Cricetulus griseus: one gene and its partners. The protein of the gene in region 3 interacts with the protein of the main gene of each other region in a biochemical or structural test. Links are inferred from orthologs where the notes say so. Each region holds a gene or a part of one and is shown on either strand. Other genes may lie near its edges.

Region 1 (3,652 bases), on a different chromosome or scaffold from region 3:
ACATGCATACTGTGGCACACACAACCCACACAGCAATAAATTTAAAAAGAAGATGGGCACGATGATGTATGAGTTTAATCACAGTATTTGGGAGACAGAGGCAGACAGATCTCTGTGAGGTCAAGGACAGCTGGTCTACAAAGCAAGTCCAGAAAGCCAGAGCTATCCAGAGAAACCCTGTCTCAAAAAACAAAAAGAAAAGAAAATTAGTGTAAGGGATAAGTATGGCAACTCTGTGGCAAAATGCTTCCCTGAGTTTGATGCCTAACACATGAGAAAAAATTCACTTCTAAGTTGTAAGTTAGCTGAAACTATAAAGCAAGCCTGTAAACATAGCTATTCAGGAGGCTAAGACAGGAGAACCGCAAGTTCAAGGTAAGCCTAGGCTATACGTTAAGTTCAAGGCCATCCCAAAGCAATGAACTGGAATATAACTTAGCAGTAGAGTGCTTGTGTAGCATCCACTAGACCCCAACTCTATCCTAGTGAAAAAAGCAAGCAAATAAGACCCCCCAAAAAATTATTGTCAATTAGTAATAAAATACTATGCTTCACCTTAAAGTGTGAAGAGGTAGCAAAACAGTAATAATAAACTCCCAGATACTGACTTGCAGGACCACAATACCTAAATTAAAAGTGCTTCTAAAGCCTGTGTGATAGAGCATGGCTGAAATCCCAACATGTGGGAGGGGGAATCAGGAGAAGCAGGAGTTCAAGGCCAGCCTGGGCTACAGAGAGTCTATTTTTAAAAAAGCTCATTGACACTTTTTATATTTGCTTAATAGGTGACGTAGCATGCTGCTTTATTTCCCACTTTAGTGGACAACCTCCTAAAAAATAAACTCTCACAAAGCCAGGTAAACTGAGTTCTAAGTAAGTCAATAAACAGAAAGATTGTACTCATTTAACTTTGCTCCTCAGCATACTTTTTATTAAAAGACTTAACTTCTTTTTATGTATGGGTGTGGATACACAGGAGGCCAGAACAAGGTGTCAGGTCCACTGGAGCTGGAGTCACATGTGGTTTTGAGCAGCCTGGTATGGGTGTTGGAAATCAAACTCAAGCCCCTAAGTGAGCAGCAGTTAAACACTCTTTATCACTGAGCCATCTCTCTCTAGCTCTGGCTCAGCACATCTTAAACTCATTCCATTTTAATTTTCACTAAAAAATAAGAATAGTCAGGCATGGTGGCATACTCCTGTAACCAAGCACAAAGGTAGGAGGATTGGGTTGGAGGCCTGAAATAATGAATCAAACAACTAAAATAAGACATTACTGTTTCTTACCCATGATAATTTAAAAAGGCAAGCCTAAGGTCCAATATCCTAAGGACCAGTTCAATCTTGATTCTATATGACTTTGCTCAAAATATTTAATCTCAGTGTTGTTATTGATAACATGGATCATATCAAGATAGCTCTGGATTATAGGTTTAAATGAACAATTAAGCATCTAAGTGCCTCACATATTTACAAAAGTTTTACAAATGTCCATAGGTTCATAAAAGGGATCAATAAATTTTACATGTTAACATTTATCATCGTCCACAAACATTTTTCTATTAAGATACAAACACACACACACACACACTCACACACAGTTGACTTCAAATTAGTCCTTTATGAAGACAGCTCTCTAAAGAACCAAGGATATGGTTTAGTGACAATGTGCCCAGCATTTACAAGGACCTGGCTACATATCTGGGCAGAGGGAAAGGAATTCTTCCAAGAAATCAATTATATAGCAAAGATCCATCATTTTTTTTAACTTACTTCAAATCTGAAGTTCTGTTTTAGTTAACCAGGTATGATTGTAGATAAATGTAAGCACTTGGGAGATCAAGGCAAGAGGACCAGGATCTGAAGGTCATCTTCAGCTACACAGCCAGTCTGAGATCACCATGGGCTATATATACATGAGACCTTGTCTCAAAAACAAACAGCCAGGTGGTAGCTCATATCTTTAATCCCAGGCCTTTGGAAGCAGACTCAGACAGACCTCTGTGAGTTCGAGGCCAGCCTGGTCTACAGATTGAGTTCCAGTACAGCTAGGACACAGAGAAACCCAGTCTCAAAAAACAAAATATAACAAATGAATACTTGGTCTCCAACTGGTAGAACTGTTTGGGAAGTATGCTCTTGCTGGGGAATGTGTGTCACTGAGGGCAGATTTTGAGGTTTCAAAAGATTTGAGAGACCCCCAGTACTCCCCCCACCCCCCCCCACTCTCTCTCATATCTCTCTCTCCTCTTCGTGGATCAAGATGTGAGTTCTCAGGGCTGACAAATGGCTCAGCAGTTAAGAGTACTTGCATTTGGGGCCAGGCCTTGGTGGCACATGCCTTTAATCCCAGCACTCGGGAGACAGAGGCAGGTGTATCTCTGTGAGTTCAAGGCCAGCCTGGTCTACGGAGAGAGTTCCAGGACAGGCTCCAAAACAAGAGAAACCCTGTCTCGAAGAAAAAAACAAAGAAAACAAACAAACAAACAAAAAACTTACTTTTGCAGAAGACCCAGGTTAAATTCCCAAAACCCACAGTGCAGCTCACAACTGTCCATATTTCCAGCTCCAAGGAATTCAATGTTTTCTTCTATAGAACCTCTGAGGCCACCAGACATACATTCAATGAAATAATCTTAAAAAATTAAAATGAGCTTTTAGCTGTTCTTTCACTCTACCATCATGGACTCTAATCCTCTAAATCCATAACCCAAATTAAGCACTTTCTTTTATAAGTTGTCTTGGGGGACTAGAGAGATGGCTCAGAGGTTAAGAGCACTGGCTACTCTTCCAGAGGTCCTGAATTCAATTCCCAGCAACCACATGGTGGCTCACAACCATCCTTAATGAGATCTGGTGCCCTCTGCTGGCCTGCAGAGATACATGCAGGCAGAACATTGTATCCATAATAAATAAATAAGTCTTTTTCTAAAAAAAAAAAAAAAAAAAGAAGTTGTCTTGGTCATGGTGTCTAATCAGCAATAGAAAAGTAAGCACACACTCAAAATAAAATAAACACTCTAAGCATAAATTTTATGTAATACTAACATAACTTTCAAACTGTAGAATGGTCTGAAGAACTCCCAGGGAGTAAAGTGTTTCCTATGTAAGTATTAGGACCTGAGTTTGATCCTCAGAACCCTTGTAAAAAACTAGGGATGATGGCACACAGTTGTAATTGCAGGCTGGGATTTACCGAAAGCCTGAAACTTGCTGACCAGTCAGTCTAAACTACTTGGTTGAGCTCCAGGTTCCAATGAGACCTCATCTCAGAAAACTAAACAGCATCTAAGGAAAAACACAAGGTTGACTCTGGAGACTACAAATTTGCACGCACGCGCGAACACACACACACACACACACACACACACACACACAGACACACACACCCTGTAGCACTGAATACCTTGACTGGAGGTGTAGAACTTGGGGAAGGAGTCATCACACAGGTTTCTTGGCTGTTGTAAGTAGGGCTCTCAGTCAGGTTCAGAAAGAGCTCATCTTCATTGGTGAAGTTCCCCTGATTGTCTGCTCCTGGAGAGATGCAGATTACAATGGCACTCGTGTTATCTGCGCGGAGCATACGCTGCCTCCAGCGGCCAAGGGCTCGGTTCACAAGCATTTTGGCACAGGATTGTCCATGCTCACCCTA
Region 2 (3,652 bases), on a different chromosome or scaffold from region 3:
ACTATCAAAAAGCTCCAGGAGCTTGAAAAAAAATCTGACAAATTACTTTAAAAAAATAATCGAGCTAAAACTGCTATTTTTTATAACCAATGAAATATTTAACATTTTTCTAAATATTCTGCCAAGTAACCAAAACAAGCATGAATATTTTCAGTAAATTCATCTTTATACAGTCTTTATGTCATTTTAAAGAATATAAAAATAAGATTTTTTTTAACCTTGCCAGTGACTTTAAAATTCTTTCCTAACCTAATTTTTAGTGTGAAAATTTGAGAGATGTTTAAAAATGTTTTTTGAGACAGCGACCCATTATGTGGCCAGGCTAGTTGAACTTGTAATCCTTCTGCCTTTACCTCCCAAGTACTCATCCTGGGAGGCCAGCCTGACCTACACAGTGGTTAGACTGTCTCAAATAGCAAGCCCATATGCAAAGACACATGGTCTATCAAACTGCATGGAACCTTACATTCTGAACTGTGATGCTGGGTTTTACAAGACAGGTGACAAGCTCTCACCAGATGCTCTGACTCCATTTTGTCTTAATTATGTGGAGATTTCAAACCCAAGTAGAATTTCTGAGGTAGCGGTAAGTCACACTCACGTGCCCTACACAAATGACTTGCTTGTGGTTTGCACTCATTTTTGGCTAGATTACAGTACTGCATGAGGCTACAGCAAGAAATACCTATGGAACAGAAGCACTGATCCAAGTTATTATAGTTAAAAATGCCTAAACTTCTCATTTTAACCTTAACCTCCTGTTTCTGATGTTGGTTTACTTGAAAGATGATTTTGTTCAAAATAGATTGATCTCTAAGGGAAATACTAAGTTTGAGGGTGCTTGTTAGCTAGACTCTTATAACTAAATAAATCCAATTAGAAATGTCATATTCATATCAGGAAACCCGCTTTTTCTGGCTCTGTTGCCCTCAAACTATTAAGAGTAATTCATCAAGCTCGGAGGGTCTAGTTCAGCAATTCTCGACGCATGGGTCGTGACACCCTTGAGGTCTCCTAGCAGATGTACTACATACTAAATAGTTACGTTATTCATAATAGTAGCAGCAGTGAAATCATTTTATGGTTGGGAGTCAGCACAACCTGGGGAACTGTATTAAACTGTCGCAGCATTAGGAAGGTTGAAAACCACTGCTCTAGTTCAAATCCAGACTCTGCCATTTACTAGCTGTGTGGCACTGGATATGGGCTTTCTTTACAACAAGCTTGACATATTCAAATGATAGGTTCCATGTCACAAAAAAACCATGAATACATCTTAGTTTTCTTTGGAGATTCTCTGATTTGAACAAATTTAAATTATGCAGCGTCCTGCCTCCCATTCTGAGTTTTCAAACTTTCAAAAGCTGAGAATTTTCCTAGAGCAGTTTACAGACGCAGCCCCCAATCCCCCAGAGGCAACTGTAGGCAGCACACAGACCTGTCAGAGTAAGATTATTGTCTTGGCTTCCCACAGAGTTTGGGGTAGAGGTAGAAATGGTTCCCCCTCACACCCCAGAAAAGCCCAGCTTTCTGAGTGCCCAGAGCACCAGGCTGTTATTTAATGTGTGTGGCTTCCCTAGGTGCTGAGTGCGTGAGAAACATACAAGAAAATAAATGTGCCTTCCTCTTCAATAGCCCCAAAGACCCCACTTTAATTTGGCTGATTTTATTCATGCCTGAAGTGTATATTGTACTGTTAAAGAACACATAATCTTGTGTAATTTATGAAGGGACAGTTCTGAATATGTGGACTCTAACATCCAGAACACCTGACAGTGCTCTGAAAGGTCCTCATAACAGAGTTCAAATGTGCCCTCAGCATCAAATTCCTAACTGATAATGGCTTTAAAAGAGAAAATGGATAGAGAAACGGTTTGGGTTACTTTACAGTTCTGTTTAGGGGCAGACAATTTCAGTGATTAAAAGGCTATAAAACTGTCTTAAAAGCTCTTGACCATAAAAACAAATGGACACATTCTCAGAAATTAATTGCATGTAAGTTCTGGAATTAGAGTTAATACCAGTTTCTAAAAACCAAGAAGTCATTCCTCTCTTTACTGGTCCCATTTTATTTCCCCTGTGGCGCTAGGACAGGAATGACAGGCGACTGATGCTGGGTACCCAGAAAGGCACTCAGATCATCCCTCCCTGTCAGCTCGAAGTCACAGGTGTTTAACACAGAAGTTAAACACCCTTAGATGAAATGGTCACCCCAAACTTTTGAGAAACTGCAGAAAGGGCAGTTTGATTTCATTGGGTGCTCACTCTTGATACAAAACTCTTAATTTCTGAAAGCTACTTAAAAAAAAAAAGTGTGACCTGTGCAGGTCAGAAGACCACCTGCTCCCCTGAGACTGGAGTTAGCAGGCTTTTGTGAGGGGCCCTGTGTGGATGCCGAGACTTGAACACAGAGCCTCTGGAAAAGCAGGAGGGGCTTTGACCCGAGTCATCTTGCCAACCCCTCAAGCTGCTCTTATTTTGTTTGTCAAGAACAATTACTAATACTTTTAAGTTACTTATGTTTTGAGGGACTCGTCTTAAAAAGCAAGTGCTAGGACAGGAAGATCTGAGATCTAGGAGTCCCTTACCTGTTGTACAAACTTCTGATCAATGTATCGCTTTGCAATGCTGGGCTGGAAGTCAGGGCTCTCCAAGAATCTCAAGAAGAATTCATATACCAGCTGTGTAGGAAAGTAAAATAAAAGCAAAATAATGCCTATAAAATCATACCCTGAATAACACTTTAGTAAAAACACACCTCTCTGATCAGCTTGAGTTGGCAATTGTTTCTAAAAAAAAAAAAACAACAACAACAAAAAAAAACACCTTTTATAGTTTGGTTTTTGTCCTGATTGGCTTTTTTCAACTTGAGACAAGCCACAGTTATCTGGGAAGGGGAAGTCAATCCATAAAAATGCCTCCATTGGATTACTGTGGGAGGGCTCAGGCTCCCACAGGCAGATGGTCCTGGGATGTGTCAGAAAGCAAACCAGTAATCGGTGTCTATGGTTTCTGCTCAGTTCCCATCTCCAGTCCTTGGTAGACTGCTGTGAACCTGTAGGCCAGGGGACTCTCCCCTGCTCCCAGACCACTCTCGGTCATGGAGTGGTCATCACAGTGGCAGGGTCTCCTCAGCCGCAGTTCATCACTGTGCATCACTCATCAGTCAGAGTGACCCTAAGGTATCAGGGTTCCTTCCCCCATACTACCAGACTACCTCAACTTCACCCCTAGGGTCGCCTAATCACAGGCTCACGATGAGTAGGCAGTGTGCTCATACCGGTTTTAAAAATCACGTCTCCTATAAAACTGGAGTAGGGGATCTGGCAAGATGGTTCAGCAGGTAACAGTGCTTGCCGTCAACTGCGACCTGAGTACCCATGTGATAGAAGGTGGAAAAATAAAAAAACTAGACTCCCACAGGTTTTACACACACACACACACACACACACACACACACACACACACACACACAAAAGCAGAGCAGCAAATTAAAATGGAAAGCAGTACACTTGGAGAACAGACCAAACTGTACAAGCCAGAGCCTGAGAGAGGAAGGTCTGTACAGCAGAGCAAATAAAGCCGACAGGTGGGCGAGCCTGATACCAAGAAGCACCATGTGACCTGCACTTTTGACAGCACTGTGACTGCA
Region 3 (3,652 bases):
ATGTGGTTATTGGGAATTGGACTCAGGACCTCTGGAAGGACTACTAGTATTCTTAATCTCTGAGCCATCTCTCCAGCATCTCCCACCCCCACCCCTTTTGAGATAGGGTCTCACATAGCATAGGCTGACCCTCTGTAGCTAAGCCTAGCTTTGAACTGATCTTTTTGCTGTCACCTCCCAAGGCTTAGATTACAGGCATGCACCACCCTGCTTAGCCTCACAGTTCAGTTTTCATGATGGCTGTGATCTGTGCAGGCTTGATACCTCATTAGTTTATTCATTTTCCTAGTATACTGGCCAACAACAAGATGAATTGTGCGAAGATCAGTTGATGTAGGACTCCCCTCCCCCCACCCCAGACAGGGTTTCTCTGTGTAGCTTTGGAACCTATCCTGGCACTCGCTCTGGAGACCAGGCTGGCCTTGAACTCACAGAGCTCCATCTGCCTCTGCCTCCCGAGTGCTGGGATTAAAGGGTGCCACCAACGTCCGGCTTTTTCTTTTTTTATTCTTAAAAGAAGTATGACCTGAATTGATATTTTGTTTGTTTTCATTTTTATACTCCATTTCCAACAAGATAACTAAAAACAAAAAACAAAAAACAAAATGGTAGTCAACTTTTGCACCTAGGAATAGATTAATAGACTATTCACTTGTTATTTTTAACCTTTACAGTGTTGGAGGTTGAGCCTAGTTCATGCTAGGCAAGTACTGTATCACTGAGCAGCTGTATCTCTAGCTTTCATGGTGTTTCTGCTTTTTTTTTTTTTTTTGTATAGGGATCTTAAAGCCAGTGCCTGCCTTGTGCTATGCAAGTGCCTTGCTCCTGAGATACGCTTCACGTTTCACATTTTCAAAAAAAAAAAAAAAAATCTCTGTAGTGTGTGTGTGTGTATGTGTATGTGTGTGTAGGTTACAGGCAACTTGCAGAAGTTTGCTTTCATTTCATCATGTGGGTTCTGGGGATTGAGGTTGTCTGTAGCATGATAAATAAAAGACCCAGAGACTGATATTGGGGTTCAAGTGTCAGTCTGATGATCAGAGAAGCAAAGCAGCCAGACACTAGCTTTTTCCTCTACCTCAGACCAAAGGGGCGATCCTCAGACTGCTCCCAATTTAATTGCTCCTCAGATTCACTCAAACTGCTCTTCTCAGTTTGGCTAGAGACTAACTCTCAGACTGAATGCCTCTGCCTTTTATATCTCTCAAATACTGGGATTAAAGGTGTGAACCCTGATTCACTCTGGTAGCCCTGTATGGTCTTGGACTCAGATATCCATCTGTCTTTGTCTCCTAAGTCCTGGGATTAAAGGTGTGTATCACCACTGCCTGATCTCTATAGTTTGAGGTTGCTTTGCTTTCTGCTTTCGGGAAAGCTTTAGTAAATCATAAATATATAGTTGTCAGGCTTGGTGGCAAGTGCCTTTACCTGCTGAGCATAACAAAATATATTATTTTGATGGAATTCCTATGAAATGTTATCATTCATTTAAATTTTTATGGAAATAAACAACTTGCATGTCTCTTAGAGTGAGGGGATTTTTTGTTTTCTGGCATTGTGAAATGCAAGGTTATGCTTTTTTTTTTTTTTTTTTTTTTTTTTTTTTTTTTTTTTGAGACAGGATTTCTCTGTGGCTTTGGAGGCTATCCTGGAACTAGCTCTTGTAGACCAAGCTGGTCTTGAACTCACAGAGATCCGTCTGCCTTTGCCTCCCTCTGCTGGGATTAGAGGTTAAGGTTATCCTTTTTAACGATTTTCTGGTGCTGGGTCTAGTGGTGTATACCTTTAATCCCAGCACGCAGGAGGTGGACCTCTGAGTTCAAGGCCAGCCAGGGCTACACAGAGAAACCCTGTCTAAAGCCCTGGTCCAGTGCTGACTTTAAGGAGTGAGCTGACTTTTTTTTTTTTTTTTTTTTTTTTAATTTATTTATTTATACAGCGTTCTGTCTGCATGTATCACTGCAGGCCAGAAGAGGGCACCAGATCTCATTGTAGATTGTTGTGAGCCACCATGTGGTTTCTGGGAATTGAACTCAGGGCCTCTGGAAGAGCAGCTAGTGTTCTTAACCACTGAGTCCTATGAGTTGACACATAATACTTAACTCAGGCTAGGAGTTAGGTGTTGGTAACTGTCCTCATGTGTGTGTGGTATAAATCAATGGCCCTGCCTCTCTTTTTGTACAGTACCTTCATGAAAATGGGATTATACACCGGGACTTAAAGCCAGAAAATGTTCTCTTGTCATCTCAAGAAGAGGACTGCCTTATCAAGGTGAAAACTTTTCATCCTTTCTGTTGCTACTGCTGCATATTTCTGTTCAAAACTGTCTTTTAATCTCTTACATAAAAAAAAAATAGGACTATCAAAAGGTTGAGAATATGAACTATCCATACTTAACAGTTACTGCTGAGATCACAAAGTATTCCACCCATCTGTTGAGCACTTACTGAGTGCCAGTGTATGCAAGCTGCTTTTATGTGCCGAGGGAGGAAAGAGTCTCAATGGACCAGTGAGCCATAGATCCCACCTTTCCTTCTCAGCCTAGCCTCACTTTAGAATCTCCCGTTAAAATAACAATACAAAACCCAACAAGAAGACCCCAAGACATAAAACATGAGGGTGACAACAGGTGCCCCTGCCCCTTAAGCTTTTCTGATGTTCCATGGTGTAGTCAAATTTAAGAGTCTTGGGTTTAAGAAATATGTGTTAGTATTAGAGTCCTAATGTGTTTGTGTCAGGGGTTATGCAGTTTTTATAAGTTTATAATGATGATAGGTAAACCTGTCCCGGCTCGTGGGTCCGGTAATTTGTGTGTCTGAGGTGGACTAAGCATGAAAATAAATGGGCGAGAAAGAGAAGCCAGACCAAGCAGTGTCCTTGTCAAGGTCTAATTTTATTGATTATAAACAAGGAGTTTTTAAAGAGAAGGAAGTAAAGAAAGAGGAAGTGGAGGAGGAATGGATGTTAATTGCTCTCAGGCCAGGGCAGGTGTCCCGGAACCTAAGGGGTGGGGTGCTTGACTAATTGGCGGTTTAGCATGGAGGTCGCCAGGCTTCTTGTAAAGGAGGACTTTTTTATGTCTAACCAGGGCTGGCTCCTGACAGGTAAATTGGAAAAAACTTTGGTTCTCAGGTTCTTAGGCCCAGGGATTTTCTTTTAAGCAAAATTAAATGCTTTGCAAAGACATGAAATTATACACTTTGGGTTAATGGAGAGTGTCTGTATAATAGGTAATCCAGTTTCCATGGCTCTTGGGAATGATTGACTATGATTATGTTTGAATTTCATTTGTTCCATTTATAATTTTAGATCACTGATTTTGGACAGTCTAAGATTTTGGGGGAGACTTCCCTGATGAGAACTTTATGTGGTACGCCCACATACCTGGCACCTGAGGTCCTTGTCTCCAATGGGACTGCTGGGTACAGCCGTGCTGTGGACTGCTGGAGCTTAGGAGTTATTCTTTTCATCTGGTAGGAAACATTTTCTTTGCTTCACAATCTGGTTGGATGAGGTTGGGTGAAACTGTATCTGTGTCCGGGTAGAGAGCTTCTATTTGACTTAGGTCACTTTTAAATCGTTGATTCAAGGAAAAGCTGATTTTTCTTGATGCTGAAGAAGGCTGTGTATCCAAATGCCACTGAGAATGCCA

The links.
Region 1: of the proteins of Chek2 (region 3) and Ppm1d, one has a biochemical effect on the other in vitro, tested with the Homo sapiens proteins (2 studies listed by BioGRID, with this or other methods). The link is inferred for Cricetulus griseus from reciprocal best matches to the Homo sapiens genes CHEK2 and PPM1D.
Region 2: the proteins of Chek2 (region 3) and Ppp2r5a form a complex in vitro, tested with the Homo sapiens proteins (2 studies listed by BioGRID and IntAct, with this or other methods). The link is inferred for Cricetulus griseus from reciprocal best matches to the Homo sapiens genes CHEK2 and PPP2R5A.

The regions. Positions count from the first base shown.
Region 1 is NC_048600.1:98,581,534-98,585,185, reverse strand, and holds part of Ppm1d (protein phosphatase 1D), read right to left. Parts: intron 3,650-3,652; coding exon 3,407-3,649; intron 1-3,406. UniProt on the Homo sapiens protein: Involved in the negative regulation of p53 expression. Required for the relief of p53-dependent checkpoint mediated cell cycle arrest.
Region 2 is NC_048598.1:3,684,652-3,688,303, reverse strand, and holds part of Ppp2r5a (serine/threonine-protein phosphatase 2A 56 kDa regulatory subunit alpha isoform), read right to left. Parts: intron 2,682-3,652; coding exon 2,589-2,681; intron 22-2,588; coding exon 1-21. UniProt on the Homo sapiens protein: The B regulatory subunit might modulate substrate selectivity and catalytic activity, and might also direct the localization of the catalytic enzyme to a particular subcellular compartment.
Region 3 is NC_048597.1:90,646,703-90,650,354, forward strand, and holds part of Chek2 (serine/threonine-protein kinase Chk2), read left to right. Parts: intron 1-2,184; coding exon 2,185-2,271; intron 2,272-3,309; coding exon 3,310-3,473; intron 3,474-3,652. UniProt on the Homo sapiens protein: Serine/threonine-protein kinase which is required for checkpoint-mediated cell cycle arrest, activation of DNA repair and apoptosis in response to the presence of DNA double-strand breaks.